2 linked regions of the Notamacropus eugenii genome follow. The protein of the gene in region 1 binds, or shares a complex with, the protein of each later gene. Links are inferred from orthologs where the notes say so. Each region holds a gene or a part of one and is shown on either strand. Other genes may lie near its edges. The genes, in order: POLR1B and TAF1C.

Region 1 (16,034 bases):
AGAGAAGGTGGGATGGGGAAGGAGAATCAGAAAAGGCTTCATGTAGAAGATGATGACTGAGCTGAATCTTGAAGGAAACCAGGAATTCCAAGCAGTGTAACTAAGGAGAAAATGTATTTCAAACATGAGGAAAAGCTGTACAAAGATACAAAGATGAGATCTGTGGTGACACGTATAAGGAGCAGTGAACAGGCTTGTATTGCCAGAAGGGAATGTCTAAGAATACTGGAAAGGTCGGAAGAAGCCAGGTTTCAAAGAGATTTAAATACCAAAGAGGAGTTTGTATTTGAGCCTAGAGGTGATAGGGAGCCATTAAGGTTTCATGAATAAGGGGCTGATATCATCACAGGTGATCATTAGTGGTCATATGAAGGATAGATTAGAATGGGGAGAGGTTGAGGCAGGGAGACCAGTTAGGAGGCTATTGCAATACTTCAGGGGAGAGATGATGAATGGACACCACAAATTAAGATGATGTCCATATAAGTGTAGAGAAGAGGATGTTGTGGAGATAAGACAACTGACTGGATATGTAAGGTATGAGTGAAGAAGTGAGTATGACCTCAGGCTGCAAAGCTAGGTGATTAAAAAAGCTGTCAGTAGCCTCTATAGTAACAGGCAGAGGAATGGGTCTTGGGGGGAAAGTGAAAGATAATGAGTTTGGTTTTGGCCATGTTGAGTTTGAGAAACCAATACAACATATATTTGAAAGTAGACTATCAGGGGAGAGAAGAGAATTTATTAAGCACTTAATATGTGCTAGGAACTGTGCTTTAAGTACTTGATGATGTTGGACTGGAGCCTAGGAGAGAAACTACGGCTATAGATATAGATCTGGGGGTCATCTGCATATAGATGCTAATTTAACATGTAGAAACTGCTGAGGTCACTGACTGAGAGAGTGTAGAGAGGCCCCAATATAGAGGAGTGCCCAATACAGAGTCTTGGAGAACAAGTTCAGTCAGTGGGCACAACATGGATGATGAACCAGCAAAGGAGACTGAGAAATGATTAGATTGGTGAGAGAAGAATAAGGGAGAAAGCGGTGTCATGAAAACCAGAAGAGAAGAAAGTAAGAGGATAAGGTGGCTTACATCAGTGACATCAAACAAATAGAAATTTATCCCTATGGGTTTCATATTGACTGAGAAAACCACAAATTAACATTGTTGTATTGTATTAATTTTGTTAAACATTTCCCGATCACATTTTAAATGAGGTGCAAGTTTGATACCTTTGGTCAATAATCTCCTGCTACCAAAAGATTTAGGAGGAGGAGGAGGATTGAGAAAAGACTTTTATATTTGGTCATTTAAAAAGGTCATTGATAACTATGAATAGAGTAGTTTCACTTAGGTGATGGAATTGAAAGCTAGATTGTAAGGGATTTAGAAAAATGAAAGAAAACTCAACAGTACTGAGGATAGACTGCTTTTTCAAGGAATTTAACTGAAAAAAAGAAGATACAGATGAGAAAAAGGATTTCTGGGATCTGGTGAGGGTTGGGTTTTGGTTTTTTTAAGAATGGAGGAGACAAGAGACAGCAGGAAAGGAAACAATAGATAGGAAGATTAAAGATAGGAGTTGATAATGAGGGAGAAGAAAAATCTATTCATAGTTGATGCATTCTGCTCTTAGTTATATGATTTAATTTGGGTGTACACAGTCTTACAATGATTTTGGGTCACAGGAAATAGCAGATAATCTGAAGACACAAGGATTTTAGTGGAATACATGAGTGAATATGAGTAAACAATATGATTCAGTAACAGTAAGAAAGTTGATACCTTCTTAGCTGAGAGGACTGGGACCAGGAGCAGGACAAGGGCCACAATGCCATTCTGTCCTAGTCAGAGCAACTCTGGAGTATTATATGTTATTCAATTCTAGTTGTCACATTTTAGGAAAAGGATGGCAGCTAACAAGGCTAATGCAGTCTTGGGCTACATTATTATGTGTCATTTCTAGGAATGAGAAGGTGGCTAATGGTCCTGCTCTTCTCTTCCTTGGGCAGACCACATTTGGAATATTTTATTCACTTCCAGGTACCAAAATTTTGGAAAGGCATTGATAAGCTGGAGAGCATCTAGAGGAATATGGCCAGGATCATGAAGTGAAGGGTCTTGAGACAATGCTACTTTTGGGATTGTTTGAAGGAACTTAGGGTAACCTGATGCTTTTCAAATATTTAAAGGGCTATTCTTTTTCTTGTTTGGCTCCAATAGACAAAATTCGAAGCCATAGAAGGAAGTTATAGAGATGACAGTTTAGTGTTACAATTTCCTAACTAGAAAGTCCAAATAAAAAATTCTTGGAGGGAAAAAGACTTCCCAACAAAAAAAATTCCAAAAGTAGAATAGGTTCTAGGACTGCTAGATGGCACAGTGGATACAGCACTGGGCCTGGAATCAGGAAGACTCATCTTTATGAGTTCAAATCTAGCCTCAGACACTTACTATGTGACCCTGGGCAAGTCACTTAAATCCTGTTTGCCTAAGTTTCCTCATCTGCAAAATGAGCTGAAGAAGGAAATGGCAAATCACTCCAGTATCTCTGCGAAGAAAACCCCAAAATGGGGTCACAAAGAGTTGAACACAGCTCAGAAACAACAGAACAGACCAGGCTGATTTAAGAGGCAGCAGGTTCCTCTTCATTGAACGTATTCAAGCAAAGGCTTGATGACTGAACATATATTGAGATTTCTTCAGGTACGAATTGGACCACAAGCTTTCTGGGGCCTTTCATTTTATAGACAAGTAAACAGAACTTAATATGACTTGCCCATTATAAGCACCAATTCAATAATGCTGCCAAACAAAATAGCTGGTACATTATATTGCCTCTGTAACTGATTGGGTTGTTACTTTGAAAACCTTCCCCAGCATTAGACATGAAATGCTTTTTCCTATCAAAATATTTAAATATAGGTCCATATAAGTTAAGTAAGGTGAGTCTAAATTGTGAACTGGATGGCAATACTAAACTGAAATTTGTGAGAGCAGAGAGTATCACAGTATGTATATGATTTCCTCAGCAACAGGAAATGTCAACTAGCCTATAACTAAGTAGATAAGCTATTGGTTACATATAGGTTAAAGGATGTGCCCAAGGTCACACAGGTGGTGGGTATAAGAGAATCAGAGACAATGTCACTGTATACATAAAGGTTGAATGCGACTTCAAAAAATGGCAGCCTGTTGCAATTCTAAAATTAGTGAAATGCCTTAGTAAGACAAATTATTCAAGTATTTGTTTCTAAGGTCACAGAGAAAGAAAGGTTGTAGAAACCTGATTTTTGTTACCACCTGCAAAGTTTAAGTCATCCTTCTACATAGAGGACAATGAAGTTGACTGCTGTCTCACTCAGTTCTTTCTATATGGGACTACAGAACCTCTCTTCCAAAACAGAATCTTTCTGCTGATGAAGATACTGGCATAAGACAATGGCCAGCATCACATAGTGCAGCTTGATTTTTGATGCTCTGAAGTGTCTCATCTACCAAAGCTGAATAATTTTAAGTTCTCCATCAGGGTCACTCCCAAAAAAAGTGGAGTAGTACTCTTCCTGGAGTAGATGAAACCTTGTCTGTGTATGTGACCAAATTCTATGTCAACCCAGGTAGGGATGACTGTTGAGAGCTTTCTCCTTCAGAAAGCTATGACAATTCAGACATGGCCCCAGTGGTTCAGCTATACTCCAGGGTAGGTGTGAATTGGTTTTAGGGCCCTAACCATAACCAATACCCAAATCAGACCCAGGTTCTGCCATAGTCTTAGGAACCACACTAGCTTCTGGGATAGATCAAGACAGTAATACCAAGTATGGTACTGTGCTCTTCAAAAAGAGCTGAGGCCCTCCAAAATCTCAATATAGCTGATGTTTAAGGCTCTTTGTGAGGGTCCGGGTCTGGTCAAATATGGTTGGGGTTTTTTTGAGTTTATTCTCAGGGTAGTATGAACTAGACAGAAGATTCAGAGTTTACAATAACCAATAAGCCTCTTGTTTTATAGGAATTAATCAACTCAGGCAAGGAAAGTGAAAAATACTGTTAAGACCTAAAGGACTGTAGGGTTCTGAAGGCCCAATATGATCACTGGAGTAAAATGTTTTTATCCTTTTTATTTTTGGAACAAAGAAGTTTAGAGCTGGGAGAGACCTTAGAGACTAAAGTGGAATGGGGCAGAAGGGAGAATGCTAGATTTGGAGTCAGAAGATCTGATATTGAGTCTCTACTCCTCCACCAATGACTACCTTGTGATGTTGGGCAGGTCACTTAATCTCTCTTGATCTCAGTTTTATAATATACAAAATAGGGGGAGGAAGTGGACTAGATAATCCTTAAGGTCCTTTCCACATCTGATTCCAGAGGTAACATAGATAACATGATTAATCTAAAATAAAACCATATTTTATGAGGCAACTGAGAGGAAAGAACTGTTATGGCTTTTACTGTAAACTCTACTCTATTCTAGGGACAGTAGAATAGAATGTATATAGCCAGAAAAAACTATGACTCAAAGCAATACAATGTTAACTTTTCCAAGAGAAAAAAGATTTTTTTTTAATAGAAAATAGCTCCATGAGGGCAGGGATTGTTTCATTTTTGTCTTTGTATTCCCTGAAACTAGAACATCTGACACATTGTAGGTGCTTAAGAAATACTGAGTAATAGATGGGCATAAGAGTAAAAAAGTGCTACGTCTATCATTTGAGGGGTTCCCTACTTGCCATAACCTTAAGAACTGGGGGAGAAGGGGGAGTCTGTGTTTTTCCTTTATATTTTGATACTAACTTATTGTGTGATTCTAGGGGAGGTCTCAACTTTTTATGCCTGTTTCTTTTTCTGTGAAAAGAGATCGTAGCCTGATCCATTGATCTGAACTATCCTTGGGATGAAGGATCATGTGTACATATTCAGAGATATCTGATGATGATCATTTATTAGAATGATCTTTAAGCAGTAGTTTCCTTCCATTCGTTTTGTAGAGGTTCACTCCAGAAAATACCAAGGTAGCTCATTATCTGGCAACAGGGTAAATAACTTTTGTCACGGATGCTAAAAGAAGAGAAAAGAAGTCTCTAATGCTTTTTGGTAACACTGAGTGCAATACATTCAAGAGAATGTAGGAACAAGTATGTGGTTTGTGATGCTAGGATTCCTCACAGGAGGAATATTACTTGAATTCAGAATTGGTGAACTGCTTGTTGGAACAGAAGTCAGAATGCTTTAAATTCCTTTACTATCTTTCTAATTGATTTCTTACACATCAGATTACTTAAATTAGCTCCTTGCAGAGAACTGACTAATATGTTGCTTCTAATGCCATCAGTTAGCAACCAGCAATACATTAATGTTAAAAATTAACTTCAAAAGCTAGAGAGATTTAATTCATTAAAAACTAAAATTTCTCATATGTAATCTGTATGCCACACTGGCATTAGTCCTCTTCCAAAAACTCACAAAGCATAAATCATACTGATTCCTATACCACAACTTGAAAGAAAACGGGTGCTAGTGACTGAGAAAGCCTATCTGAAAAATACTTTTTCCTATAAAGGCATCTTAAGGAAGAATATGTATTGAGCTCAGAATAAAACATTTACAGATGTATAATACAATACAGATAAATAACACATTTACAATTACAACCCATAATAATAGTTTGATGAATGATAGCATCCTGTTACTGGGAAGAATATTTTGTCCAAATTAACAAAAGGTGTAGACAATTTTGAATTGAAGTTAAAATATGTAATGAAGTAAAATTTGATCATTAAAATATAAAATTTATCAGTACTACTGCACTGATGGTAAATTCTTTAATCTGAAAAGGCTATAAGCCAAGATGAAAGTGGAGGAAGTGTTGGTGCATGATTTTCTGTTTGCAGATGATTGTGCACTCAATGCAGCCTCTGAAGCTGAGATGCAACAAAGTATGGATCAATTCTCCACTGCCTGTGCTAATTTTGGCCTAATAATTAACACCAAGAAAACACAGGTGTTCCATCAGCCACCACCACATCATTCATACATGGAACCATCAGTTACAACAAATGGAAAAGTTTTGAATGCTGTGGGTAAGTTCACTTACCTTGGTAGTATACTTCTTGGAATGTATACATTGATAAAGAGGTTGAATGCCAGAGCTAGCCCAGTGTTTGGGAGACTCCAAAGGAAAGTGTGGGAGAGAAGAGGTATTAGACTGAATATTAAGCTGAAGGTCTACAGAGCCATTGTGCTGACCTTGTTGTATGTGAAACATGGACAGTCTACCAGCTCCATTCCAGGAAACTGAATAGCATCCATTTGAATTGTTTTAGGAAGATTCTGAAGATAACCTGGCAGGATAAGGTACCAGACCCTGAGGTCCTTATGTGAACTAAAATGCCAAGTATTCACACACTGCTAGAAAGAGCACAACTCCAAAGGGCTGGTCACATTGTTCCAATACAAAATGTACATTTGCCGAAAAGACTGTTTTATGGAGAACTCACACAGGGCAAACATTCACATGGTGGTCAGAAGAAGTAATACAAGGACACTCTTAAGGTGTCTCTCAAGAACTTTAGAATTGATTGTGTGACATGGAAGAGACTGGCGCAGGACCACTCAGCATGGCATGCCCACATCAGAGAAGGCACTGTGCTCTATGAACAAAGCAGAATTGAAGTGGCTCAAAAGAAACACAGAATGAACAAATTTAGAGAATCTCCCCCAAATGTTCACATGAACAATTTGTGCCTGATCTGTGGTAGAGCTTTCCAAGCTCATATTGGTCTGATCAGCCATAATCAGACACACTGAAACTTAAGAGACTCTGGCATAGTGATGTCATTTTGGTCCTCTTCAAGAACAAAGGACCACAACCAAATATATCTGACTAATACCCTATCCAACACATGTTTGTGAAAGGGCTTCCTTACTCTGTACTTCTATGTATCATTGGGTGTTAATTTTAAAGTAACACATTTTTCAACAAATTGCAAAGTATTTTTTTGTCTAATATGCCCCTTGTTCCTTCCTCTCCCAATTAGCTAGAGGTCTTTCTGATTCAGCATATCTAAATCAGTTTTATTGAAAAGCGTTTGAATGATGACTTTTGTCACAATTTTCAGTCAATATATGGCCAGTCATTTGTGTTAGAAAACAAATTCCATATTTAAAACAAAGCATATTTACTATATTTCAATTATTATTGTACCCTTACTCATTTTCTGCCCCCAGAGGTTGACTGCAACAATAAATGGCAGTGGAATTCAAGCCATGTAAGAGAAGTGAAACCAGCCTCATATGTGACTAGACCACTTTGTTGAAACTGTAATCAGGGCCTTTGCAAGACTGCATGCATGTCTATGTTCAATGCATTTCCTGGCAGTTCTCCAAACTTTGTTGCCTACCTAGAAAAAAACACTGCGCAATCAATGTAGAAATAACATTGTATCCACAGAATCAACCTTTGGAAAACAAACCACAATGAAAAGAAATATCTGTAACAGTAATTGGCATACATACAGAATATCAAGAGTTTGTGTAGTTGACATACCAGAGCATGAATGTATGTATATGGATCAGATGGGATTTTCGTGACTACATTATACACAGTTCCCTGATATCTGTATCCAAATCAATTAAATATGAGGGGGGGAAACTATTTTTCCCGAATTCCTAATGGAAGTAGAGGCAGGAGGGAGAAAAATTCTAATGGAAACTATGATGTTATATATATTAAAATTATGCAAAGTTGGAAGGAAGATCAGAGATCAAGTCCTACCTCTCACCCAATGCAGGAAACATCTGCCAGACGGCCATCTGGTTCCTATTGAAACACTTGCAGTGACAGTGTGTTCATTACATCATGAGGTGATCCATTTCATTTGGACCGTTCTCATTCTTAATTGGCCCGTAAATTCTTTTCTGTTTTGCCTAAGCGTGTCTACATTACAATTGTTAAAACGTAAGATGTGTATGTTTTAATTCAGTCTGATTCAGCAAACATTTATTTAGTGCCCAGTATAAGAAAGGTGCTTTAGATACAAAGATGAAAATGACGTCACTACCCTTCATTAAGGAGCTTTTCAAGCAATAGTAGACCCATTTTACAAAGTGAGAAACTGAGTTTTGTAGAGAATGTGGAGCTGCCTGGGACGACACTTCTAGCCTCAGTTCAGGCAAAGCCTGGGAGAACGTGCGCATCGGGGGCCGAGGCGGCGCAGGGCCCGCAGTCCACACGCGTGGGCCACCAGGAGACGGTGGTACAGTCAAGATTCACAAATGGGGGGGAGGGGAACTGCTCTCAAACTAACGATCTCTGAGATACTGATTTACAATACCATACGTTTGTATATTTATTTAAACTAATCTACTTATCTTGCTAAATAGTTCCTAATTACATTTTGTTCTGGTTCCGGCGGATCTCAAGGAATTTTGTGGGCACCCTGGTGCCCAGGGTTTGACAACTCTGTAACCCGCCAGTGAGCCGGGCGGACTTGGAAAAAAATCACCAAAAAAAAAAGGAAAAGGAAAACAGAAAGTACTTCTCACGTGGGCTGCTGGGACTTGTAGTTTTCCGGTTACGGGTCTGGTTTTTTTGGGTTTTTTTGCTGGCGCAGATGTGACGCTTTACTTCATTTACTACATTTACTACATTTCCCAGAATGCCACAGGAGGGAGGGGCGGGAGTTAATGACGAACTGCCTTCTGGGATGTCCAGCAGCTGTGGCTCGTTTCTCCCACGCTGTTAACCGGCATGGATCCCGGTTGTAAGTGGCGGGACCTACCCGGCGGGCCCAGCCTGAAACACTTGACCGAGCCGGGTTACGGGATCCCGAAAGAACAGCAGCTGCCGGCTTTGCAGGAACTCACGCGGGCGCACATCGAGTCCTTCAACTATGCTATGCGAGAGGGGCTCAGCCACGCGGTCCAGGTGAGCGGGCCAGCCGTCCCTCCCAGGGGCTCACTTCCCCTGACTCCTGCCCCATAACTCGCCCCCCGGCTTTCCTCCCCGCACTGTCCTGCCCTCTTTCCGACCTGCCCCGAAGTGTGCCCCTTCCCCTTCAGGCTTCCCACCTTCCTCCTCCTACGCTGGTGTCCCCCCCTCCAGCTTCTATCTCCTACTCTGGTCTCGTGGCCCGACCTTCCCGTCTCTCCTCTGCCCCCATCCCCGTCTCGCGGTATCGGGGGTGGGCCGAGCTCTTGCCCCTTGCCCCGCTCTGTTCCCGCGTGACTGGCTCTGTCCTTGGGGGCGGGGCAGAGGCTGAGGGCTGAGCCCTGGAGACCGGGAGGAATTGGGAGATCCGGGTATATGGGAGGATCTCATTCCCAGCAGGATCTGAAATGTTATTCTCTCCTTCTTCGCAAGAGACTGACTCTCTCTCTCTGTCTCTCTCCCTCCCCCCCTCCGTCCCTCTCCCCCTCTCCCTCCTTCTTCCCTCTTCCCCTCTCCCGTCTCCTCTCTCCCTCTCTCTCTCTCTTCCCTTCCCTCTCTCTCATTTTCGCCCTCATCTTTCCCTCCTGTCTTCTAAACTATCCTCCCACCTTCTGCTACAAGCCTTTCCTAGTCCTCCTTAATCTTAGTACTTTTCCTCTGAGATGATCCCCAGTTTATCTGCATGTTGTTTCTCCAGTATTTATCTTGTTTTTACTTTCTCTCCCCCATTACCCTATGAGCTTCTTGAAGACTGGGATCAAATTTTGGCTTTCTTCTTATCTGCAATACTTAGCATAGTCTCTGTTTCATAGTAAGTTCTGTATAAATACTACTGAATTGACTAAGCCTGGAAATTAATGAGAGCCACTCAAAGGATTGTTTGTCATGCTTGTTACCTTTGACAATTTATTAAGCGGTATTTTGAGCAAGGGAATAGTTGCTGGTTGAGAGTGTTCCCTCCCATTTATTCAGCAGTATTTATTATGTGTTTATTGTCTACCTTCTTCCCATGGAACGTAAATTCCTTTAGGGCCAGGATTATTTTGATTTTTGTCTTTATATCAACATCCTGTGTATGTAATGTGGCACCTAATAAGTGTTTGTTTGATTCATCTTGCTAAGTTCTAGGGTAGAGCTTCTTAAACTTTTTCCACTTCACACCCTTCAGCAGTGTGAGTGGGGGACATGATATGAGATATTCCCACGAGTATGTACAAAGCTTAAGAAGACATAGTCTTGCCCCATGGAGTTTACTAGATAAGAGGATAAGACAAAAATACATAATAGAAGCCAATATTTAAGTTTTCCCAAGTACATCATATCCCAGTTTCTCCTTTGAGCCATATGGTGAAATGGTAAGAAGGGCACTTAGAGGTTTAATTATTCTGATTTTGTTTATTTCTTAAAGTTAGGTTCAGAGGAACTGAGTGAGAGACCTGTGGTCTCACAGCTCAGAAGCATTAGAGACAGAATTTGAACCTAGCTCTCCTGTATTTTTCCCATTTTACCACACAAGGTACAAGACAGAGCAGTGACCTCAAAGAAGAGGGGTAGAGCAGAAGGCACATGACCAGGCTTTGAGAAGTGTGTGAAGGGGAGCAGCAAGTATAGACTAACTCATCCAAAAAGTTTAGCATTGAAAATGGGGAAGGAAATAGTAAAACAGTGTTAGTAGGGTCAGGGGAAGGCATCTTTTGATATGGAGGCATGCTTATAAAGTAAGGAAAGAATTAAAGGAAGAGTAAATTCAAAATCTTCAAGAAAAGATGATGGTATGAAAGGCCCAGTAGAAGACAGGATCAAATGCACAGGTGGATGGGTTAGCCTTGAGAAAGCAGGGTGACTTCAGTTCTTTCTTTGAAAGAAGAAAAAAGAAGCTGGATGAAAATACAAAAGGCTTGAAATATGAAAGAGTGAAGCAGAGGGAGTTCAGGTATTCAGGGAAGATTTTCTGTCACTCTGCCCCATAAAGTCACTTAAAGGAGATTCTGGCTTCATTCTCCTTTTCATGTATAAACCTGATCTCCTGTAACCATCTTTTACTTCTGTAGGCTCAGGGATACAAATAATGTTTTTCATATTTATGAAGTCATTAATGAGACCCTTCTATTGAGGGAACATAGAGTGATTGCAATCCAGTGATTGCCCTATTCTTCCTTGAATAGCTTTAATTTTTATAAAGTTCTTAATTATATCAAGTCTAAATGAGCTTATCTCCTTTATGAGAATAAATAAGAAGTTATCAGTGCACTTAGAACAGACGTGATTAGAATGTCCTTTGAGTGAAAGTTCTCAGAAAATGCAAAATAAAGAAAAAGGGGTGTTGTGTTTCAGGCCATTCCACCTTTGGAATTTGCTTTCAAAGATGAACGTATCACTCTTGCTATTGTGGATGCTGTCGTTGCTCCTCCCATGGTCCCTAAAGGGAGCATCTGCAAAGATTTGAAAATCTACCCAGCAGAATGTCGTGGTCGGAGAAGTACATATCGGGGAAAGCTGACAGTAAGTAAATAACGGTGACTAAATGAATAACAAATGAATAATCGATATGATCGATTGTATATCTAGTGTATCTAATAAAAATATCACACTTAACTGGGCTGCTTAACTTCATTAGTAGCTTATGTTTTGTAAGTCTAAAGCACTAAATATCATATAGAAATTAGAACTGTTTCTCTCCGGTTCCTCCTCTCATATTAGAATTAAGTGTTGTGCTAACTGTTTAAAATGAGCCTTTCAATTACTTTTGTAGTTTCAGTTGTCTGGACACAGTTTTTTATCTTGGCTAATGTATTTTTTTTCCTTCTGTTTTCCATTAGGCTGATATCAGCTGGTCTGTGAATGGGGTCCCCAAGGGAATTATTAAACAATCCCTTGGCCATATTCCTATTATGGTGAAGTCTAAGCTGTGCAACTTACATAATCTTCCTCCAAAAGCTCTTATTAAGCACCATGAGGAGGCAGAGGTAAAATGAAATCAGTAACTTGGGTTAAATAAAGAAATATTTAATTCATTCAAAATCTTACTTAAAAGTTTGTTTTCACCCAATTTTCCATCTAATTTATTAATCTTTTCTTTTTTAAAATGACTTTATTATTTTTTTACATCCCCACCTCCCCCTCTCAGAGAGCTATCCCATGTAACATAGAATTTTTTAAAGACAAAAGAAGAGGAAAAAAATCATAGCTGATAAGTACGTCAAAAAAGTTTGAAATTATGTGCAAGATTTATAGACCTTACCACCTCTGTAAAGAGGTGGGTTGGGAATATCCTCTTACATCCCTTCTTTCAAGTCATACTTGCTCTTTATGATTTTGCCACATTCACTTTTGATGTACGTATTTATGTTGTGTTCTTCCTGACTACCACATTGTCATAGTCACCTTGTATGTTGTTTTCTTGGCTCTGTTTACTTCACCCTGCATCAGTTCATGTAGATCTTGCCACACTTCTCTCTATTTAGCATATTCAGCATTTCTTATAGCACAGCAAATCCCATTATATTCATGTACCAAAATTTGTTTAGCCATTCCCCAATTAATGGTCATCTCGTTAGTTTCTGATTCTTTATTACAAAAAATACTGGTGTAGATATTTTGTTATATTTGAGGAGTTTCTTCTTATTGACTTTCTTCAGGTACAAGCCCAGTAATGGAAGTCTCTCAGTGAAAGGATAATGAGTATTTTATCGCTTTATTTGCATAATTCTGGGTTGCTTTCCACAATGTTTATGTTTATTTATAGCTCCACCAACAATTAATTAGTGTGCCTGTCTTTTCACAATACTTCCCACGTTGACTATTGCCATCTTTTGTCATTTTTGCTGCTTTGCAGGGTGTGAGTTGAAAATCTCAGTTGTTTTAATGTACATTTCTCTTATTAGTGACGTGGAGTATCTTTGATTTTATATAGGTGCTTTTGTATGTAGATATGCATGTGTATATGTAGCCTTGTGGTATTAACATCACTCTGATTTCTTTGACAGGAGATGGGAGGCTATTTTATAATAAATGGTATTGAAAAAATTATCAGAATGCTAATTATGCCTCGGAGAAATTTTCCCATTGCAATGATAAGACCAAAATGGAAAACCAGAGGCCCTGGTTATACCCATTACGGTGAGTAGTGAATCATAACAATTAATACTGGGATGGTAGCTTAGGAAAAGATAAATTTTAAGTTAAATATTAAAATGATTAAATGAAATGAAGAGAAGTTTTATTTAAATTGGTTCTTTTTTCTTCTGTATGATTCCATTTTATTAAATATTTCATTGTTGAAAGCTGGAAGGGACATTAGTATTCATTAATTCCAACTTTTGACCTAGTTCTGTTAATAATACACCATTCTTAACAGATCATCAACAAGCCTCTGCTTGAACATTTCACAGACATACACATCATGTTCATTTTTGTATAATACTAGTTGATTTTGGCTCAATATAAGAAAAAACTTTCTCACTTCCCAAAATTTCCTCTGGATGTAGAGATCTGTATATTTGCAGATACATATAGATCTGTGTATATATGTACACACACACACACACACACACACACACACATACATATATGGGGAGAGAAAGAGAGATAGGCAGACAGAAAAAGAGCCTCTCTGATTGGTTCAACTCTTTTATGAGAGTTCCAAGACCTTCCCTTTAAAGGGTGATGGGACTAGGCCAGTCTTTTCTCTCTTTAGTCCAAAGGTCCTTTTACTAACCCACATTGCCTGCTATTTAATGTAGTAATTTCATCTGCAATACCCCTTATAGAAGTAGGTTAACTATCTAATTTGTTTTCCATTGTGAATTTTATGCCATATTGGTTTATTGTAAAATGAAACATCTTCTGTTTTCAGCCTCCTTACTATAATGGAATTCACTTGTGTTCTCTTGGTTTTTTGTATTAAAATACAAAGTCAACTCTTTGTATAAAAGAACATAATCACTACATTTTAAATGTGGTTCTCCCCTTCAAAGTAAAATTTCTTCTATATGAATTATTGGTTCACATGAACTATCCAGAGCTAGAAGGTATGTCAGACACCATCTTGTGCAACCGCCCTCATTTTACAGGGAAGGAAACTGAAGGCTGGAAGTTTGTGACTTGTCCAAGGTTCCACAGGTAGTAAACATCAGAGAGAGGATTTTACTGCAGGTCCCCAGACTCCTTGACCAATGCTGATTTAAACTGTGCTATAATAACTTTTCATTCCCATCTAGACTGGGAGAGAGCCCAGGTTTTCATACAGTAAGCTATGGCGCTTTGGCAGATGATCTCTAAGGTTTCTTCCAGCTCTATGATTCTCTTATTTTCTGTGTTCTGTCTTTCTCTTGCTAATATATTTTAATATTTTGTCCTTTTTTAAAATTATTTGTCATATTCCCCATAAGCATATACCAACCCTACATAAGCACATACAGATAGTTCTTGTTTTATGTAAGTAGACCATTTCACAGACCTCTGCATAAAGTGATTTTTACATAATGTGAATGTTGGGAGGAAAAGGGTCAGGGGGTCAGTCAGCGCATTGTTCAAGGACACATGGGGACTAGGGACAGAGAAGTAAGAGTAAGAACAGGAACACATGGGGATCTGGGCCAACTATACTGAAGGCTGACACTTGGAAGTCAAGATATGGACACAGACAGGAGAGTAAGGCAACACTGGGGGGCCAGGGACAGATGGAAGACAGTGGGTGGGTGGATTGAGGTAAAGGTCTCTCTTGACACTGGAGGTTTCAAGCCACACTTCCAATTGAGGTGGCAGTGGGCAGGTGTATCTGCATCTATTCTCTCTCATTTGGAGGGGTTATTTTTAGGGTTGTCTTGTTTTTGTTTGTTTAGGTTTGGGGGTGGGAGGGAGTAGAAGGGTGGGAGCCAAGGGGCAGAAGCTATGTGAGCATAGGAAAGTTAACATAAGTGGGTTTTTTGGAATGTGGATTTCTTTCGGAATTCTATATGTAAAGTTGAATTTGTCAAATGTGAATTTACTTAAAATGAGAACTGTATTGGCAATCAAACTGATTAGTATCTTTATGAAACAAATTACTTGAACTTAAACTGCTTAAACCTCTGGGTATAGATCTACCCTTTTTGAGTTATCATCAAGTATAGTTGCTAGAGGCACCAAGTTTCTAATTTTGTAATGCTTATTTTGACAGGAATTTCAATGCACTGTGTTAGGGATGAGCACACTGCTATCAACATGAACCTTCACTACCTGGAAAATGGCTCAGTGATGGTGAATTTTATTTATCATAAGGAATTATTTTTTCTTCCTCTGGGATTTATACTCAAGGTATGAGTATTTTTCTTATGAGATTCATCAGAAGATTCCAAAGCTTCAATCAGATTCTGCAAAGTGAATTATAGATTTGATTAAGTAGATCACTAATGTTAAACTTATTTTTTCTGTTCTAGGCATTAGTTGGTTTTTCTGATTACCAGATTTTTCAGGAGCTGATCAAAGGAAGAGAGGAGAACTCATTTTTTAGGAACTGTGTTTCTCAGATGTTAAGAATTGTAATGGAAGAGGGTTGTCTCACACAAAAACAGGTCCTTAACTATTTGGGAGAACGTTTCAGAGTAAAGCTCAGCCTTCCTGATTGGTACCCAAATGAACAAGTTGCAGAATTTCTGTTAAAGTATGTATTTTCTTGCAAAATGTTCTTACTTTTTTGTAGGTTTGGGATTCAAGGTGGGGGTTTTTATGATAATATATTTGAAATGTAGTTGATGGTATAGTAGTTAGCCCCCCAGCCTCAGAGCTAGAAAATTTTGGCTTTGGATCTTCCCTCTGACTCCTACTGGCTGTGTCACCCTGGGCAACTCACTACACCTCTCAGAAGCTCAGGCAATCCTCTGCTGACCTGCACTGGTAGGGGGTGTTTTCTCACTAAGAGTACCTTATACCAACAACATTATAGCTCTGGCCTCTGTGCACAGGTTCCATTTGTGTATTTGTAGTTGGGTTAGAGAGAATATGGATTAGCAGTAGATTTGTGGCTGCTGTGGTCCACAGAATCTCTACAACGAGGTCATTGGAGCTTGAAATAGTGATAGCTTTTTCTTTTTCATTGGACTTCACCTTAATGGCCAAGTTGGAGA
Region 2 (16,537 bases), about 95 Mb from region 1:
AGGAAGGGTCTTGAGGAGAAGTCCAAGGAGGGAATCTAAGGAGGGTCAAAGACTGGAAACAGCTGGAGGCTATCAGGAGATATCAGACAATGGAGGGTTTTGGGTGGGAAGCAGGTGGGGCAATCAAGAAATAACAGACAAAACACACATTTAAGTATGAAAAGCCAGGTTAAGTGAGGGGATTCCAGAGAGCTCAAGGAAGTTCCCAGAGTCTGAACCTCATCATCCGCATTACCTCTAAGATAAAATATAAACTTGTGAATTCCCTCTTTTAGCTTCTAAAATCCTATACAATTTTTTCACTTGTCAGAATCATTTGGCTTTCCAAAATATATTATATATATTTAGACAGTCAATTCATATGTAAATTTGCGGATGCCATTGGTGTTTTTAAGTGCCCTAATAATTTAAAGTGGCTTTTCAAGTTATTCTGAATGATTTTGAAAATAATTTTCTGAAGGAAGGTGACTCAGTCATTGTTTAAAATATCAAAAAGGAAGCTTGCAAAAGCATTTAATAATGTTTATGAAAAAAGTTAAAGAAATTAAATTCAACATTTTTCCATTAAAAACAAAAAACAAAAACCCTAGACTCTTTGGCCCCAACCAGTTTTTCTAGACTCATTAACCATAATTCCCCCTCCCACCTTCTGTAATCCAAACAAATTCTTCTTCTTTCAGTGCTGCCTCCACAGTTCCCCATCTCCGGGTTTTTGCACTGGCTTCTCCCCATACCTGGAAGGTCCTCTCTCTTCACCTCTGCCTCACAGAATTCCTCTGTTCCATAAAGATTTGAGTCAAGCACCATCTTCTACTTGAAGGCTTATCTGAGCCCCCTCCCCCAAATACTGGTGTTTTCTTTTCCAAATTCATTGGGAATCTTAAAGGAGTACAATGAGACAAGGCTTGGGAGTGGATTTGTTATGTATTGATGATCATAAGGAAAGAATGGAAAGAGAGAAAAGGAATCTACAAGGAGGGAATTATCATGTAATAAGGGTGCTTAAGTAAACATCTGTGCAAACCAGGAGGAGAGAATGCCAGAGCTGACCTTAAATTTCTCTCTTTTCAACTTGTCAAGGGAAAGAAAAATACAAGGACATATAATTCACATTTCCTTTCCAATTTTCCCCTCCAGCACTCTCATTCCATTTATAAATACATTTTTAAACTCTTGCTCCATCTCTTCCAATAATCCTAGAACATACAACAAGATATGAATTGATATAAAGCAAGGCTCAGTAACAGAAAAAGCATATAGATGAACTGCAGCTATATTTTAAAAACATTCAAAATTTAAAAAACAAAGTTTTTAAAATTCACAGAGATTTGGAGGATTTGGCAATTTATTTTTCTTGTTTTAAATATTGATCTTATACTGTTAAAAAATTTTAGCAAAAATATATAGCATTTTAGTTGGATAACTTACCATACTTATTAGCTTATTAGTTAGACTTATTAGTCTTATTAGCTAGAAGAGAGCAAACATTCATTAAGTGCCGGTGTCAGGTGCTCTATAATATTAGTCAGTCAATAAACATTTAGGCATCTGCTATGTACCAGGCACTGTGCTAATCAATTAATCAATAAACGTTTATTAAGCACCTACTATGTGAAGTGTGCTGTACTAAGAGCTAGGGATTTTTGTTGTTATTGAGTCATTTTAGTTGTCTCCCACTCTCCCGAGGCCATCAAGGTTTTCCTGGCAGAGATATTGAAGTGGTTTGCCAGTTCCTTCTCCAGCTCATTTGACAGATGAGAAAACTGAGGCAAAGAGGGTGAAGTGACTTGCCCAGGGTCATACAGTTAGTAAGTGCCTAAGGAACTCAGGTCCTCTAACTCTGGGGCCCACCACTCCTTACGGCTGGTGATACAAATATGAAAGAAAAGCTTACGATCTAATTGAGAACACTTTATGAAAAGGATGCTGAAAGAGGGGAGGGGTAATAGGTGAGTGAAATCAGGTCAAGTGAAGACCCCTCAGGCATGAATTCCCCAAAATCTCCACCCTTCCTGCCAAAGCTAAAATAGCTAATGCTCCAGGATGCAGGAGAACCACCTAAGTTCCAGTCATGTGACCTGGTATACCCTTCCCCTTCTCCACCCCTTATGCCACATCAGCATTCTTCCCTTAAGTTCCCTATTTGGTAACAAAAACCCTCGTTGAAGAGCAACAATCCTTTCCATGTTCTTTGTCTCTGGGGTAGATTCCCGCGCTTAGATTGTAAGCCTGAATTCCCAGTCAATGGGAAGAGAGGCTAGTGGGCTTCCCTGTTAGGGACTATAAAAAGCTGTACTCCAGGTGTACTCAGGTGCACTCCCTTGCTGATATCACCCATAGTCTTGTGGAAAGTGCCACTTCTCAAGGGATTGTAATAAATTGTAATAAATTCCTTTTTGCCTTCTACCTTGAGAAGCTTCTGAGTTTAATTTGAGTAAGGGTTGCTGTATCCCACACATAGGGAAGGCACTCATGGTGGAAAAGTCAGAGAAGGTCCAAGGTCATGCAGCCAGGTGAGAAAGGAGGAGATGTTCCCAGCTGAGCTTCCTCATTAAACAGAGGTCTTGGACTTCATGGTTCCATCCTCCGATGAGAGCCTCACCCAATCCTCAGAACAAACTTCTGTGAGGTATTATTTGTTGCCTTATTAATACCTCTGAGGCATTAATAATCCTATCCTACTATTATTCCTATTTTACTATTGAGGAAACTGAGCCAGACAGAGGTTAAATGACGTACCCAGGGTCACACAGCTAGGAAATGCCTAAGGCTAGATTTGAACTCAGGTCTTCCTACCTCTAGGCCCAGCTACTCTATCCAGTGCTCCAGTTAACTGCACAGAGTGCTGGGCTTGGAGTGTGGAAGCCATGGGCTCAAATCCTGATTCTGACACTCTAACTGTGAGACCATAGGTAAGTCACTTAACCTAAGTCTCAGTTTTGTCATCTGTAAAGTGGGGAAATCTTCAATACCTACTTCCATTGTTTATTTAAAATAACTCTAGACAGTATAAAATACCTGGGAGTCCAGGAATTATATGAGCAAGGTTCACTGTTGTCAGTTTCAACAGACATAATATATGTAAAGTGTTTTGAAAACTTTAAGATACCAAATAAAAATAAAAGTTATAATAGCCCCTCCTTCCCAGCGTTGTTGTGAGGATAAAATGAGACTATATTTATTTATAAGGTGTTTGGCAAACCTGAAAGAACTATGTAAATGCTAGCTATTATTACTACTGTTGTTAATTGGAGAATGGCTGAACAAGTTGTGGTATATGAATGTAATGCAATACTACTGTTCTATAAGAAATGATGAGCAGGCAGACTTCAGAAAAATGTGGAAAGACTTATATGAACTGATGCTGAGTGAAGTGAACAGAACCAGGAGAACATTGTACACAGTAACAGTCACACTGTGCAATGATCAATCAGGACTGACTTAACTCTTCTCAGCAATACAGTGATCCAAGACAATCCCAAAGTGTTAAAAAAAAAAAATAACATTGCTTATGCTAACATTAAATATCATTTTTGGACTTTTAATAAGGGTCAAAACCTGAACTAATCAATCAGACTTCTTTGTTTTGCTCTAAAAATGCCCTTTTCTGTGTCAGCAATTTAAAAGACCTGTTTATGACAGGATGCCTACAACTAGAGTGGTAAGATTCTTCTTTATCTTGTTTCACAGAGACATATGCTATACAGAGGAAACTCAGATATCCTGGGATTGTAAATTCCATCTGACACTACTTTTTTAGTTGTCTTATCTCACTGAATTTACAACTTATACAATTAAGAAAATTCCTTTCTCATGGCAAAGTGTATTTAAGCCTGGTCATTCTTGTATCAGACAGTCAGAAGTTTCATGTAACTGCTAGTTTTAAGAGAACAAACAATATGAATTTAACCTGTTTGCCTCTTTTAACCAAATTTCCTGGTCAACACTTATAATCACTATTTTTTAAAAACCTGTGTGTACAGTAACAGCAACATTGTTCAGTGACTAACTGATAGACTTAGCTCTTCTCAGCAGTGCAAGGATCTAAGACAACTCCTAAAGAAACACAATGGAAAATGCTGTCCACATCCAGAGAAAGAACTTTGGAATCTGAATGAAGATGGGAAGCAGACTAGTTACTCTCTCTCTAGTTTCTTCTTTCTCATTGTTCCTCCCATTGGTTCTAATTTTTCTTTACAATATGACTAATGTGAAAATATGTTTAATATGAATGTATATGTAGAGACTTTATCAGATCGCACGTCTTGGGGAGGGAAAGGGAAGAGAAGGAGAGGAAATTTAAAACTCAAAATCTTATGGAAGTGAATGTTGAAAACTTAAAAATACATTAATTAATTAAAAAAAATAAAAACCAAAACCTGTGTGTATATTAGATGCAGGCCCTTGTGATGTGGAAGTTCCTGATACTTAGCTCTCTTCCTGAAAAAACAGAAAGGAAAGCAAAAAAAAAGGGAGGGGGCAGGGGGAGCAGAGGAGTTGCTGCTTTCTAAGGGAGGCATTTCCTGAGAGCTAAAGGGCCCAGAAGCTGGCATCATAGCCACAGAAGGTCAGAGATGGCTGGGACCTTAGCAATATCCAGCCCAACCCCCTTTCATTCTACAGATGAAGAAACCAGAGAGGCTAAGCTATTGGTCCAAGATCATTCAGATCCTAAGTAACAAGCCAGGAATCTCTGAGAAGGTTGCCCTGGGAGGATTTTCAGAAAATTCCTCTTTATCTTTTCTCCCAGATGGATCCTTTCAGGTCACTTAGGTTCTCCATCTTGTTTGTTCCATAGACCCCTTGGGCAGTCTGGCGAAGCCTAGGGATCCTTTCTCAGAACTGTGTTTTAAATTGCATTGAATATGAAAACCATTTTATATTGAAATATTATAATTAACATAATTATATATTGCATCATACATATAAAGGAAACAACTTATATTGAAATAAAGGTAATTTTTTTCTTTACCCATACAAGTTCATGAAACCCTTGAAATCCATCCATGGACCTTTTTAATAATAAATGTGGATTGATTCATGGACTTTGGCGAGGGCTGGGGTGGGGCGTTGGGGGGTGGGAGATAGACACGGCCTCAGGTTAAGAACCCCTGAACTAGTCCAACCCCACCCCGTTTTACAAATGAGGAAACTGATGTCCAGAAACACGAAGTGATTTGTCCAAGGTATCGGTGTGAACAGAGGTGGGAATCGTGACACCTGGTTTCTAATTAGGTAGCATTTATTAAGCACCATCTACTACAGTGCGAGGCATTGCGCTGAACTGGGGATACTAGAAAAGCCCCCAAACTTCCCTACTTTCAAGGAGTTCCCAATCTATCGGACTTTCTCTATCTGGTTGAATGAAGAATGAATGAATGAATGAATGAATGAGTGAATGAGTGAATGAATGAATGAGTGAATGAGTGAGTGAATGAGTGAATGAATGAGTGAATGAGTGAGTGAATGAGTGAATGAGTGAATGAATGAGTGAATGAGTGAATGAGTGAATGAATGAGTGAATGAGTGAGTGAATGAGTGAATGAGTGAATGAGTGAGTGAATGAGTGAATGAATGAATGAATGAGTGAATGAGTGAATGAATGAGTGAGTGAATGAGTGAATGAATGAGTGAATGAGTGAGTGAATGAGTGAATGAATGAATGAATGAGTGAGTGAATGAGTGAATGAATGAGTGAGTGAATGAGTGAATGAATGAGTGAATGAGTGAATGAGTGAGTGAATGAGTGAACGAGTGAATGAATGAATGGAGGGACACTTACAAGCACTCACGGTGCACAAAGCACCCGGTTGAGCGCTGGGGGATCCTAATAGCTCAGAGATCTAAAAAGGGGCGGGGTGTGGCGGCAAGGGCTTGGATTAAATCAATCAGTAAATTGACCGTTCGCTCAGTCACCTTCGGTGTGCCAGGCACTGTGCTAAACCCTGGGGAAATGGCAAAAAATAGTGCCTGCCCAAGGAGCTCCCCATCTAATCGTGACCACACACGACAGTCGCCTCTAACTCCAGCTCGATCGCGATCTTACGCGCGTCGTGACTTTGGACAAGTCTCCTCTCTTGGACCGGCTTTCCAGTGCTTTGTAACAGCAAGGCGAGCAGGGACGCAAGGTGCGGGAACGTTTCGGGGCCAGCTACAAAGCGCCAGAGCACCCTCTCCCCTCGGACAGTCGGGTTATTAAGAAAGTCCCTACCGTCCAGCTCCGCGTTTCTCCTGAGGCCTTGGGATGGCCCCCGCGGGCCACCATCCACGCGGCTGACAAGGGGGCGGGACCAACCCTGCACTGAGGATAATGGCGGCTCCTATTGGGGGAATGAGACTAAGGGGGCCGCCATATTTAGTAAGGCAGCTCTCTCCAGGAGGAGGACTTCCGGGGATCGGGTTTGGGGCTCTGGCTCTGGAGGATCCTGGGAAATCTCTTGGTCCCGCACATGCGCAGTGAGTGAGTCGTCAGTTTCTTTTTGTGTGTGGGCGTTTTTCTTCGTTTCCCACGTGTCTGCCTCGGGGTGGCTGGTGAGCCGGCTCTCGTGGGTACCAGTGGGCCCGTCTCGGCTGTCGGGGGATGGAGGCACCACCGCCGTTCTACACCGAAGGAGATGAAGAGGTCTGAGTAATCGCGGCTCCTTTCTCTGCTGGGTGGGGGGGTCATTAAACCCCCTTTCACAGACTGGGAGAGTGGGGAGGGGCTGAGCCTGGGGTGCAGCCCCGGCCTCCAAGTCTGGTACTGAAACGGTGTTCTCGACCCGCTTCCCAGGACCGGTTGGACTAGGGTTTGAATCCCAGACCCGCGACTGATGAGCCCAGGGACAGCGGGTGAGTCTCCTTCCCCTTGTAGGCTTGACTTTTCTGAAAGATGTAGGAGAAGGTTGTACTGGGCGGCCCTAACGTTCTCCTTCACAACCTGCCCCTTCCCTCCTTTTCCAGGATCCTTGCACTCCTTTTATCATATTCCCCTCCGAGTACTCTGCGATCCAGTGATGCTGGGCTCCTGGTGGTTCCTAGAGTGCAGCACGCCATCTCCCGACTCGGGGCATCTCTCCTGGCTGCCCCCCTCGCTTAAAATTCTCTCCTTCCTCGTCTCTGCCTCCTCCCCTGACCTTCTGCAAAAGCCTTTCCCAGCTTTCCTTAATATTGGTTAATTATCTCCAGTTTCTCCCTCTCCTCCTTCTCCCTCTCTCCCTCTCCCTCCCTCTCTCCCTCTCTCCCTCTTTCTCCCCCCTCTCCAGTTGGCATGGTGTCTCCCCCATTACACTCTGAGGTCCTTGAAAGCAGGGACTTTTACTTTTCTTGGGAGCCCCAGTTCTTAACTCAGTGCCATGTACTTATTCGTACTTGACCTGACTTGATTCCCCATCCCGCCTCTTTCTGCCACGCTGGCTGTCTCAGGTCTCATAACCAGACCTGTTCTGGGTAGAATACAACCCCGGTTCTATTTAATCGCATTCTCCCTAGATATGTCAGGTTTTTATGTCCCCACTTCAGGCATGCTGCAGCCTAATTCATCCCTTTCATTCTACCTCCTGTCTTCAGGTTCCTCAAACTTTGTCATTTAGTCTCACTTCCTGACCTCTCAGTTCCTCACCATCATTGACTTTCACCATTCCACTTCAGCTACACAGGGATTGGGTCAAATATTATCATTCCATGGTTCCCCCAGACTGGATCACTCAACCCCACAAACAACCCTTTACCCCACAAAATAGACTATGTTGTTGTTCAGTCATCCAACTCTTTATTACCCTGTGGACCAAACTGTCCATGGGGTTTTCTTGTCAATTATACTCCAGTGGTTTGCCATTTTCTTCTCTAGTGGATTAAGGCAAATGGGATAAGAGACTTGCAGAAGGGTCACTCAGCTAGTAAGTATCTGAGGTCAAATTTGAACTCAGGTCATACCGACTCCAGGTCCGGTACATTATTCACTGAGTCGTCTCACTGCCCTTAGGAATTCTAGGAATACTATGCTCCAGACATTGGTCATTGAACCCATGGGAATTGAGATCACCAAATAAGAGTGTGTAGAGAGAAAAGAGGGTCAAAGAGAGATCCTTGGGATACAACACAGTGGTTATTTTGCGAGTGATCTTTCAGCAAAGGAGACAGAAGCAATGGTCACAGAAGGAAGAGAACCAGAAAGGGAAAATAGTATTGTGAAAACCCAGAGGAAAGAGTTTCCAGGAGGAGATGGTGGTAAACAGTGCCAGAGTCTGCAGAGAGGTCAAGAAGGATGAAGACTGAGAAAAAGGTGTTAGATTTGGCATTTAAGAAATCACTGATGATTTTGGAGGGTTATTTCAGTGAAATGATGAGGCCTAGAGCTAGAATATAAAGAATTAAAAAGTGAGAGGAGAGGATGCAGAGGCACTGAGGACAGACAATCTAGGGGTTTCATTGAGAAGGGGAGGAGGTAGGAGGATTGCAGGGATGGTAGTTTTTGGTTTTTTTTAAGACCAAGGAAGACTTGGGAGAGTTTGTTAGTAGCAGGGAAGAAGCCAGGAAATAGGCTGCAATTGGAGATTAGAAAGAGTAGGTTGATAGTGGGACCACTAAGCTGGAAATGACAGAGGGAGATGGGATAAGGGTACCTATGGAGGAGTTGGCCTTGACAAGAAGAGCCTCATCTTCATCCCAGACTGGAGAGAAGGAGGGGGATGTTTGTTGAAAGGATGTGAGATGGGGAGGAGGGGAGCTCTCTGAGAATGGCCTCCGTTTTTTCAGCCTCTCAGTTGAAAGGGTTTGGAAAACAGTTGGGAAGCTTGAGAAGAGAAGGTTTGGAACAGCCGCCCAGGAGTGGGATAGAGAATCAGTTAGGAAGGATTTTAAAGGAGTGTCTTGTAGCATTGGGGCAGCTAGGTGGCATAGTGTGCCAGACCTGGAGTCACAAAGACTCTTCTTTCTGAGTTCAAATTTGGCCTCAGACAATTACTAGCTTTGACTTTTGGCAAGTCCTTTAACCCTGCTTGCCTCAGTTTTCTCATCTGTAAAATGAGCTAGAGAAGGGAATGGTGAACCACTCCAGAATACTCCAGTATGTCTGCCAAGAAAACCCCAAATGGGATCACAAAGAGTCAGACTGAATAACAACAACAAAAACTTGTAGCATTTAAGGCCTATCTGAGCTTAACTAGCAGAAAGCTGTAGTGGATGCAGTCTGCAGTTTTGTAAAGACCTCCAGCTTTATTCAGTAGCAGAAGGGGAGAAGGAAGCAGATGGTGGAGGCGATCCAGGATTGGGGTTGATCCCCCAAGAAGATAATGACTTTCCCCTTTGGATCACACATAGGTAATGCTTTGCATCTCTTAATGTACCTGTTCAACATTGTTCGTTTTTGTTACTTTTGTGTCTTATCCTAGACTTGAGTTTCATGAGGGGAGCGATCAGAACTGATTTAAATCATTTCTCCCTCAAAGAATAGCACGGTGGATGCCCTGCCTGTGTTAGGTGCCCAATGGAAATCTGCTGACTGAATAAATTGTGCTCAGAGGGGAAACCAGAACCTTCAGCACGTGAGCCCTGCAGACAGACTCCTGTGACAGAGAGTTTTGCTGAGGACAGACTTGGTTTTGAATCCCTTTTTACTCCCCTGTTGCCCCTTCTCTCAGGCTTGTGGCCCCATGAAAGCTTTTGTGTAGTGTTCCACTGATTAGAGAAAGAAAACATGTCTTTCTCATCTTTGTTTCATAGGAACCGAGACCTGAGAATTGGACACGAGCCCTGCACGCAGATGGATTTCCCTGACAATCTCTTTCCCACGTTCTTTTTGCCTGGCCCCCCTGGCCTGAATGATTCCCCTGGCTTGTATCTGGCCCCTGCTTGGAGTGACTGTATGCAGCTGCTGAAGCCCCCCCAGACCCAGGATCCATCGGTAGGAGCAGCCCCAGAGCCCTTTCTGGGGAACTGTTGTCTGGACAGTTGGTAGTTGGTACACAAGGTGCTAGTCACTTCTGCTTGGCCACAGGGATGTCTGATGTCCTGGGCACCCCAGAGACTTGAGGAACTTCTCATCCTTAGTTCCATAATAAAAGGAGAATAGTATTACCTGTGCTCTCTAGAACCTCATCAAGATCATAGATTTGGACCTGGGAGGGACCTCTGAGGTTGTCTTTATTTTACAAGTAAAGAATCACAGACATCAAGTGGCCTACTAAGTGTCAAAGCTGGGTTTTGAAAGCGGGTCCTCCGACTCCAGATCCATCGCTAGTTCACACCTTCCCTAGAGGGACAGGAAATGTTTAGATGTAAAGGATTTGATCTAGTTCAGCATTAATAATTTACAAGAACTGAATGGGTCCTCCACCCTTTAATCTAGAAGTATAAGGGATCTGAGAGGCCACAGAGTCCAAATCCCTCATTTTACAGATGAGGAAACTGAGACCCAGAGAAGAAAGATGACTTTCCTCAGATCACTCAGGTAGTAAGTGTCAAAGAGGGTATTGGAATCCAGGTGCTCTGACTTCAAAACTGATGATCTTTCCACCCTACCACCCTCTCCCACAAAATGGAGATTAACCTTGATACTACAAGTGTGGTCTACTGGAGTCTTTCCTTGTCCCCCAGGTTAACCCCCCCCAGCATGAGACATCGTATGTGACAAAGTGGGGAAGATGGAAGTCTGACACTCCTGGACCTCTGCCCTTCCTGCGCCCTGGTCCTGGTGAGGGGTCCTCTTTTTCTGTTCCTACCCCAACCCTACTTGCTGCTTTCTGACAACCCACCAAGTCCTTCCTCCCACCCTATTTTATTGGGGTACAGCCCCTGGATCCCAGCCTAAAGCTCCTTCTACGGAAGTTTCATTTAGCAGCAGCTGTTTGAACCACAGGCTCTCATCTCAAAGCCCAGTGTTGTCAGATATACATGTTTCCTACCATGGACAAGGAAATTAGAATGCTCCTACCAGATTCCTGGGATTGCCTCTTAGACTTTTATCTACCTTCTTAGGACTTCCTCCTCAATGTATTCTCAGACTTCCCTCCCAGCTCAGCTCCCTTTGCCAAGAACCTTGGGCCCCTTCTCCCTAATCTCCCTAATTTTCCCTTCAGACCTCTGGAACCCTGAGCTGACCCCCCGAGATTTGCTCTTCCAGGGGAGACTGAGGCGTCCATTTGGGGCCAAAGCGACAGTAGATGTTATGGAGCAGGTAAGTGGGCATTGGGTCTTTTGAGGGTTACTCTGGGCTCTGATCTTGGCCCTTGCCACATGTGGTCACTGTCCTTTTCTTTGTCCCCCTCTCAGCTCAACCAGTTCTTGTGGGATCATGGGGACATTGCCTTTGGGCCCCTAGGAAAGCTGCTGCAGGAGGACTTTAACCTGGGAAAAGCAAAGGTAAATTTGACGATTGGACAACTGGTAAAAGTGACCCCTGGCTGGCTGCAGTTGACCCCTAGTGACACAGGGAAGTGATGGGCAAACTGGCCAGAGGCAAGAAGTAACTGAAGCTTTCTCTCCAGAAATCCCGCAAGGACAGGACGGTGATGAATGCAGAACGGTTGCTCCAGGACCTCAGTGGACACCAGCCCAAGGGGCAAGTGACCCAAGGAGAAGAAGGGGGCGTACTGTTAGTCAAAACTGTGGGGTTCTAGGATTGGGAAGAAAGGAGAGTCAAGAGGTGGGATCAGCTGTCTACCAACTTTCTTCTCTGGTCACCCTCCTATGCTAACTTAGTGGGTACAATGGTAGCCCTGGGTTTGAGTCCCAGCTCTAAGCCTTAGTTTCCATATTGTAAAATGGGGATGATAATCCTTACACAACCTACTTTGAAAGGTTGCTGTAAGAACAGTTGCTTTATGATTTGTTCAGTGTCCTGGAAAGGGTGATCTGGTATTATTTTTAATGGGATCTTTCATCTCCCAGGTGCCCCTGGGCCCACTTGAGCACCCGTCAGCGACGATTCTCCCTCCTGGGGGGCACAGTGCTGGCTGAGGAAGTGGAAGGTCTGCTTGGGGGTTTGCTGCATGAGGAGCTGGAGACCCGCTGGAAGGGGCTACTGCTGGATGAAACTTCTACAGGCGGGGCTCTCGCTTGGGTCCCAGGGGCTAAACCCCATGTTGGGCAGCTGGTCTACCCTACTGGGCAAGCCTACAACCAGCTGAGTATCCTTCTGTGGGAAGGAGGAAGGAGACTGGCTTATCCTCTCTGACCAGGGACTTATTCCCTGATAGGGGGAAGGAGAAGGGTACAGGAGGCCTGGGAGGGATCAGTTGTAGAGCTAATGAGCCTGCAGTGAGCTGGTCACATGTAGAATGCTTGGTGTGTGATCCAAGTGCCTGGGCTGGATTTCAGACTCTAAGTGGCTTAGAGTAAATGGTTTCAAAGTTCCCTTCTAGACCTTGATCCTAAATTTGAAGACTGCCTTAACTGGCCTCTCAGACTTCCAGAAGGTAAAACTGTTCAGCACCCGCAAACCCCAGGCTGTTGGGGACCCAACCCAAATCTTGCTCCAGGGACCAGTCCGGCAGGTGGTGACCCGCACAGTCCAGGGGGAAGGTGAGACCCGTAAACATCTGGTTCAGTGGCCCCATTTTCCATTCCCCCCCCACCCCAGCCTGGACTGATTGTCAGGGATGCTTCCTGATTTAGCTCCTGAGTCCCCTTTCTCCCCCTGCCCCATCCCAGCCAGCAGAGTGTGTGACTATTTTCAGCTAACTCCTACTCTTTCCTCAGCTCTGCTGGCTGTCCGCTCTGATCATCACTGTGCTGTGTGGCAGGTCAGTCGTCAAGGGCATCCTGAGCCCCTGCAGGTGCTGGGTACAGAGAAGGGAGCCACAGGAATCAGCCTCAGGTGAGGTGGGCACTTGGGATATAGACTGCAGAAAGGAATGGAAAAGGGGATGCCTATGCTAACCTCACTCCCTCTATACCTGCAGCCCTCATCTTCCTGGAGAGCTGGCAGTCTGCACTCGCTCAGGAGCTGTGTGTCTGTGGAGCCCCCAGAATGGGTAATGTTCACCCCTAGGCCTCCCAGTCTAGTCTTTCCCCCTGTCCCCTACTCTAAAGACTATCTATCCCAGGCGTGGCTGCCAGCATCCTCAGTCAGACACACCCCAGTAAACCTAGGCATCTTAAATATACCTCTCCTGTTAGCCACCAAGAGTGAGGCACATTCTCTTCTCCCCAAGGCTGAAGCAAATATACAAAGACCCTGAAACCCTTGTCTTCAAGGACTCTTCTTCGTGGCGCTGGGCAGACTTCACTGCTCACCCCCGTATGCTGACTGTCGCTGACCGCACTGGAGTCAGACTCACAGATGTTCGGGTATGGGGCAAGGATTATAATTTTCACTGACCACGTAGGGTATCAGGGGTATCCAGATGGGTGAGCAGGCTCTGGGGCACAGGGAGGTGACCTCTTGTCCCTGTGTCTGACTTCAGGGTCCCTCAGGCTGTGGTGAGTTCCTTTTTCGTGTAGGGGCTGAAGCCTCATGTCAGCGAGGGGAGCGTATCTTATTGGCTCAGTACTTGGGGACATCCAGTCCGGTCTCCCTGAGTCCCACCCTTCATCTCATCTGTACACAGGTAAGTGAGATTCCCCCTATGGAGACACCTTCCTCTAATCCCAGTGTCCCTTCTCTCAGATCTGACTCCCTCATTCCCCAAAGTCCCCAGGATATGTCCATGCAGAGTGGGTGCTGCCCACCTGACTTGAGTCACCATACCCTCAGTTCTCTCTCTACCTGCTGGACGAGCGTTTACCTCTTGTGCCAATGCTGAAGTGGAACCATGCACTTATGTCACCTCCACTGCTGGCTGAGCTCCTGCCCCCACCCTGTCCTGGGGCACCTTTTCCCTTGCTGCTCGGAGGACTTGGGGGCCATCTTCGGATGTTGCATCTCTCAGGTGAGGCCTGGGGCTGAGACCAGCAGGACCCAGTGACGGTGCTTGGATTGGTGTCTCTGGTCAACTCCCCATGCTCCTCTTTTTCCTCAGGAGGGTCCAGTCACACCCCTCAGCTAGCAGCACCACCACAGTCACTCCCTTCACTTAGTGACTCACTCCCTGGCTTTCCAGTCCTTGAGCCACATGGTCAGCAGCTGCTGCAGGACCGTCTTAAGGCCCCTCTTATGGGTATGTTGAGGGACATACTGATGGAGATGGGAGGGCAAGAGGGAACGGGGAATGGGGATAAAGACATCCCCCACATGGGATGTTTCATGGTTAGCAATCTGTTGTCCAAGTTCAGCAGCTCAGGATTTGGGATCCTCTTCACCGATCTTTCCCCAGGCTTGGCTGCTGTTGTACCTCCAAGTTGTCCCAGTCCCACCATGCTGCTGTTCCAGCTCTCAGCTGCTGGAGATGTTTTTTATCAGCACCTCTGGCTCCAGCCAGACACCAATTCCAAAAGTGCTGACTCTCTCCAAAATAGTAAGTCTTGCACTGACCATACTGATGATCCAGGCCTCCATTCTCATGACCAGTCTTCTGCTACCTCATCCTTGGACACAGCTCCTGACTCTGGTGCTGTTTCCTGGAATCCTCAGGCTGTTGCTTGCTGCCGCCGTTGGTTGAAAACCCTACTACAAGTTCCCCCAGCCCTCCCTCCTTGGACACCCCCTACTTTCTCCCAACACCCTCTCCGATGGTTGAGGGAGGAAGTGAAAGGGAAGGTCCGAGAGGGCCTACAGGCTGCCATGAATGAAGGCCGGCTGCTGCAACAAAGGGACCTGGGCCCCCTCCCTCCCTCAGATCCTCCCCCTGCTCATGAGCCCTTTGGTCCTGAGAACAAATTGACTGAACGTTTGGAAGCATTCTGGGAGGGGAAGGGAGCCATTTGGTGGGACAGCCAGCAAGGCAGTACCCAGGTGCCAAGAAAGCGGCCATCACGGGAGAAGAGGCGGACCCAGCTTTCCAGCTCTTTCTCCTCTATCAGAGCCACCTCTGACTTCTCTGACATGGATAGTCACCATGGGACTCCTAGCCCTCTCCACAGGATGTCTGAAGCTTCTCAGTCTCAGGAGCTGTCTCAGGAGCCATGGGCTCGGAATGTACCCCGTGAGCGTCGGCAAACACTTCGAGACTACCTTGCAGTCCTCCCTTCTCCAGAATCAGAAAACTGCTCTTCCCCCCGATCCCAGAATCGAAGCAGCCAGACCCTGCCCACCTCAGAGCCAATGAGCCACTCAGTACCACGCTCCCAGGATCCAAGGACCCAGACCCCTCTTCGCCCTCACCAAAGGAACTCCTCTGCCCTCTGCTCTCAGAATTCAGGCATCCGGAGCTTGCCCTCCCGTCACACTCCTTCGCTTGCAGGCTCACAACCCCTCAAGAAAAAACCCCGTATGGGCTTCTAAGGACTTTTGTGGATTGTAGGATCCTCAGAAATCCTGGCCTTCATGGGATTGTAGCTTTAGACTAGAAGGAATCTAGTCCAGCCTCCTCATTTTATAGATGAGAAATCTGAAGCCCAGAAAGAGTTGTATAAGTGTTAAAGACCATTACTCAATTCTGCTTCCTTTATTACCGTACAGAGTTGAAAGCTTACTGTGTCTGGCTCCACCATTGAATAGATGGATCAGTCCTGGTGTTCAGGAATAGCTTCCAACTCACTTTGTCTGGAAAAGTCCAAATCTCACCCATTTGCTTTAATACTAATCACTCTGTAAGTTCATGAAAGATCACTGGAAGATCCTCTACCCTCTCTTTATGCCCTGGTTCTGACACTTTCTCACTGATTACTGAAAGCTGGGTCAGTTAATTAGACCATTCGGCCTTGAGTTTTTCTTTTTCATAGTACCAGAGCCAAATGGGAAGAGTTTCCCAGGGGACACACAGACCCTCTGTAGTTGGCACCATAGTGCCCATGAGACAGTACATGAAGGCTCCTTGGGCAAAGTCTCAGTTTCACCAGAGACAATAGATATATTTGAGGGACTTTGAAAACTCAGTCTGAGGAGTGTGAATGAGAAGCCATGTCGTAGCCATTGTCTAATGTTTCTCCATTAGCATTGACTCAATTTTCAGACTCTGAGCCTTTAAAATTTTACATTTCCTATGTTTAGCTAACTCCCTTATTCAGAATGACCTGGTAATCCCTTCACTATGACCTTCAAGGTAATGAGTCCATATGGAGACTCAAAACTCCCCACATTCCAGCTTTCAGATTTGGGCAGCTAACACAAGCTCATCCATCTCCTATGTCTGGCCTGACCATCTGGACTCTTGGACATCACCATGAGCTGATAACGGAGGAAAAAGGCAAGATATGCAGGGCACTGTTACTTAAAATGTATGAGAAAATGTAGAGAAAAAAGAAGTCTTAGTTATATGAAAATATTATGCCTTAAAGAAGCCAAAGGAATATAAATTAAAAACTAAATTGTGTATTTGTTGTCATGTGGAATGATTTTGCAAGGAACTGATAGATGGAGATTAAGACACTTCTCTGGAAGAAAAGTATAAGCTGATACAGAGGCCTTATAATAACCTAGTTATTTTTCAGTGTTTTCTACATAAAATAGTACTGAAAAAATATTTGCTGATTAATGCCAGGGCTGGTGGCAAGACTATTTTTTTTTTTATAAATGATC

The links.
Region 2: POLR1B (region 1) and TAF1C share a complex: the UniProt entries of both Homo sapiens proteins name them as parts of the pol I pre-initiation complex. The link is inferred for Notamacropus eugenii from reciprocal best matches to the Homo sapiens genes POLR1B and TAF1C.

Annotation. Positions count from the first base shown.
Region 1 is NC_092872.1:602,811,432-602,827,465, reverse strand, and holds the start of POLR1B (DNA-directed RNA polymerase I subunit RPA2), read left to right. Parts: upstream 1-7,976; 5' UTR 7,977-8,748; coding exon 8,749-8,925; intron 8,926-11,262; coding exon 11,263-11,430; intron 11,431-11,747; coding exon 11,748-11,894; intron 11,895-12,914; coding exon 12,915-13,047; intron 13,048-15,088; coding exon 15,089-15,225; intron 15,226-15,347; coding exon 15,348-15,571; intron 15,572-16,034. UniProt on the Homo sapiens protein: Catalytic core component of RNA polymerase I (Pol I), a DNA-dependent RNA polymerase which synthesizes ribosomal RNA precursors using the four ribonucleoside triphosphates as substrates.
Region 2 is NC_092872.1:697,978,875-697,995,411, reverse strand, and holds TAF1C (TATA box-binding protein-associated factor RNA polymerase I subunit C), read left to right. Parts: upstream 1-9,595; 5' UTR 9,596-9,676; coding exon 9,677-9,883; intron 9,884-10,575; coding exon 10,576-10,672; intron 10,673-11,057; coding exon 11,058-11,155; intron 11,156-11,250; coding exon 11,251-11,340; intron 11,341-11,465; coding exon 11,466-11,539; intron 11,540-11,868; coding exon 11,869-12,107; intron 12,108-12,384; coding exon 12,385-12,501; intron 12,502-12,678; coding exon 12,679-12,796; intron 12,797-12,881; coding exon 12,882-12,953; intron 12,954-13,133; coding exon 13,134-13,269; intron 13,270-13,385; coding exon 13,386-13,529; intron 13,530-13,675; coding exon 13,676-13,850; intron 13,851-13,940; coding exon 13,941-14,078; intron 14,079-14,234; coding exon 14,235-15,301; 3' UTR 15,302-16,331; downstream 16,332-16,537. UniProt on the Homo sapiens protein: Component of the transcription factor SL1/TIF-IB complex, which is involved in the assembly of the PIC (pre-initiation complex) during RNA polymerase I-dependent transcription.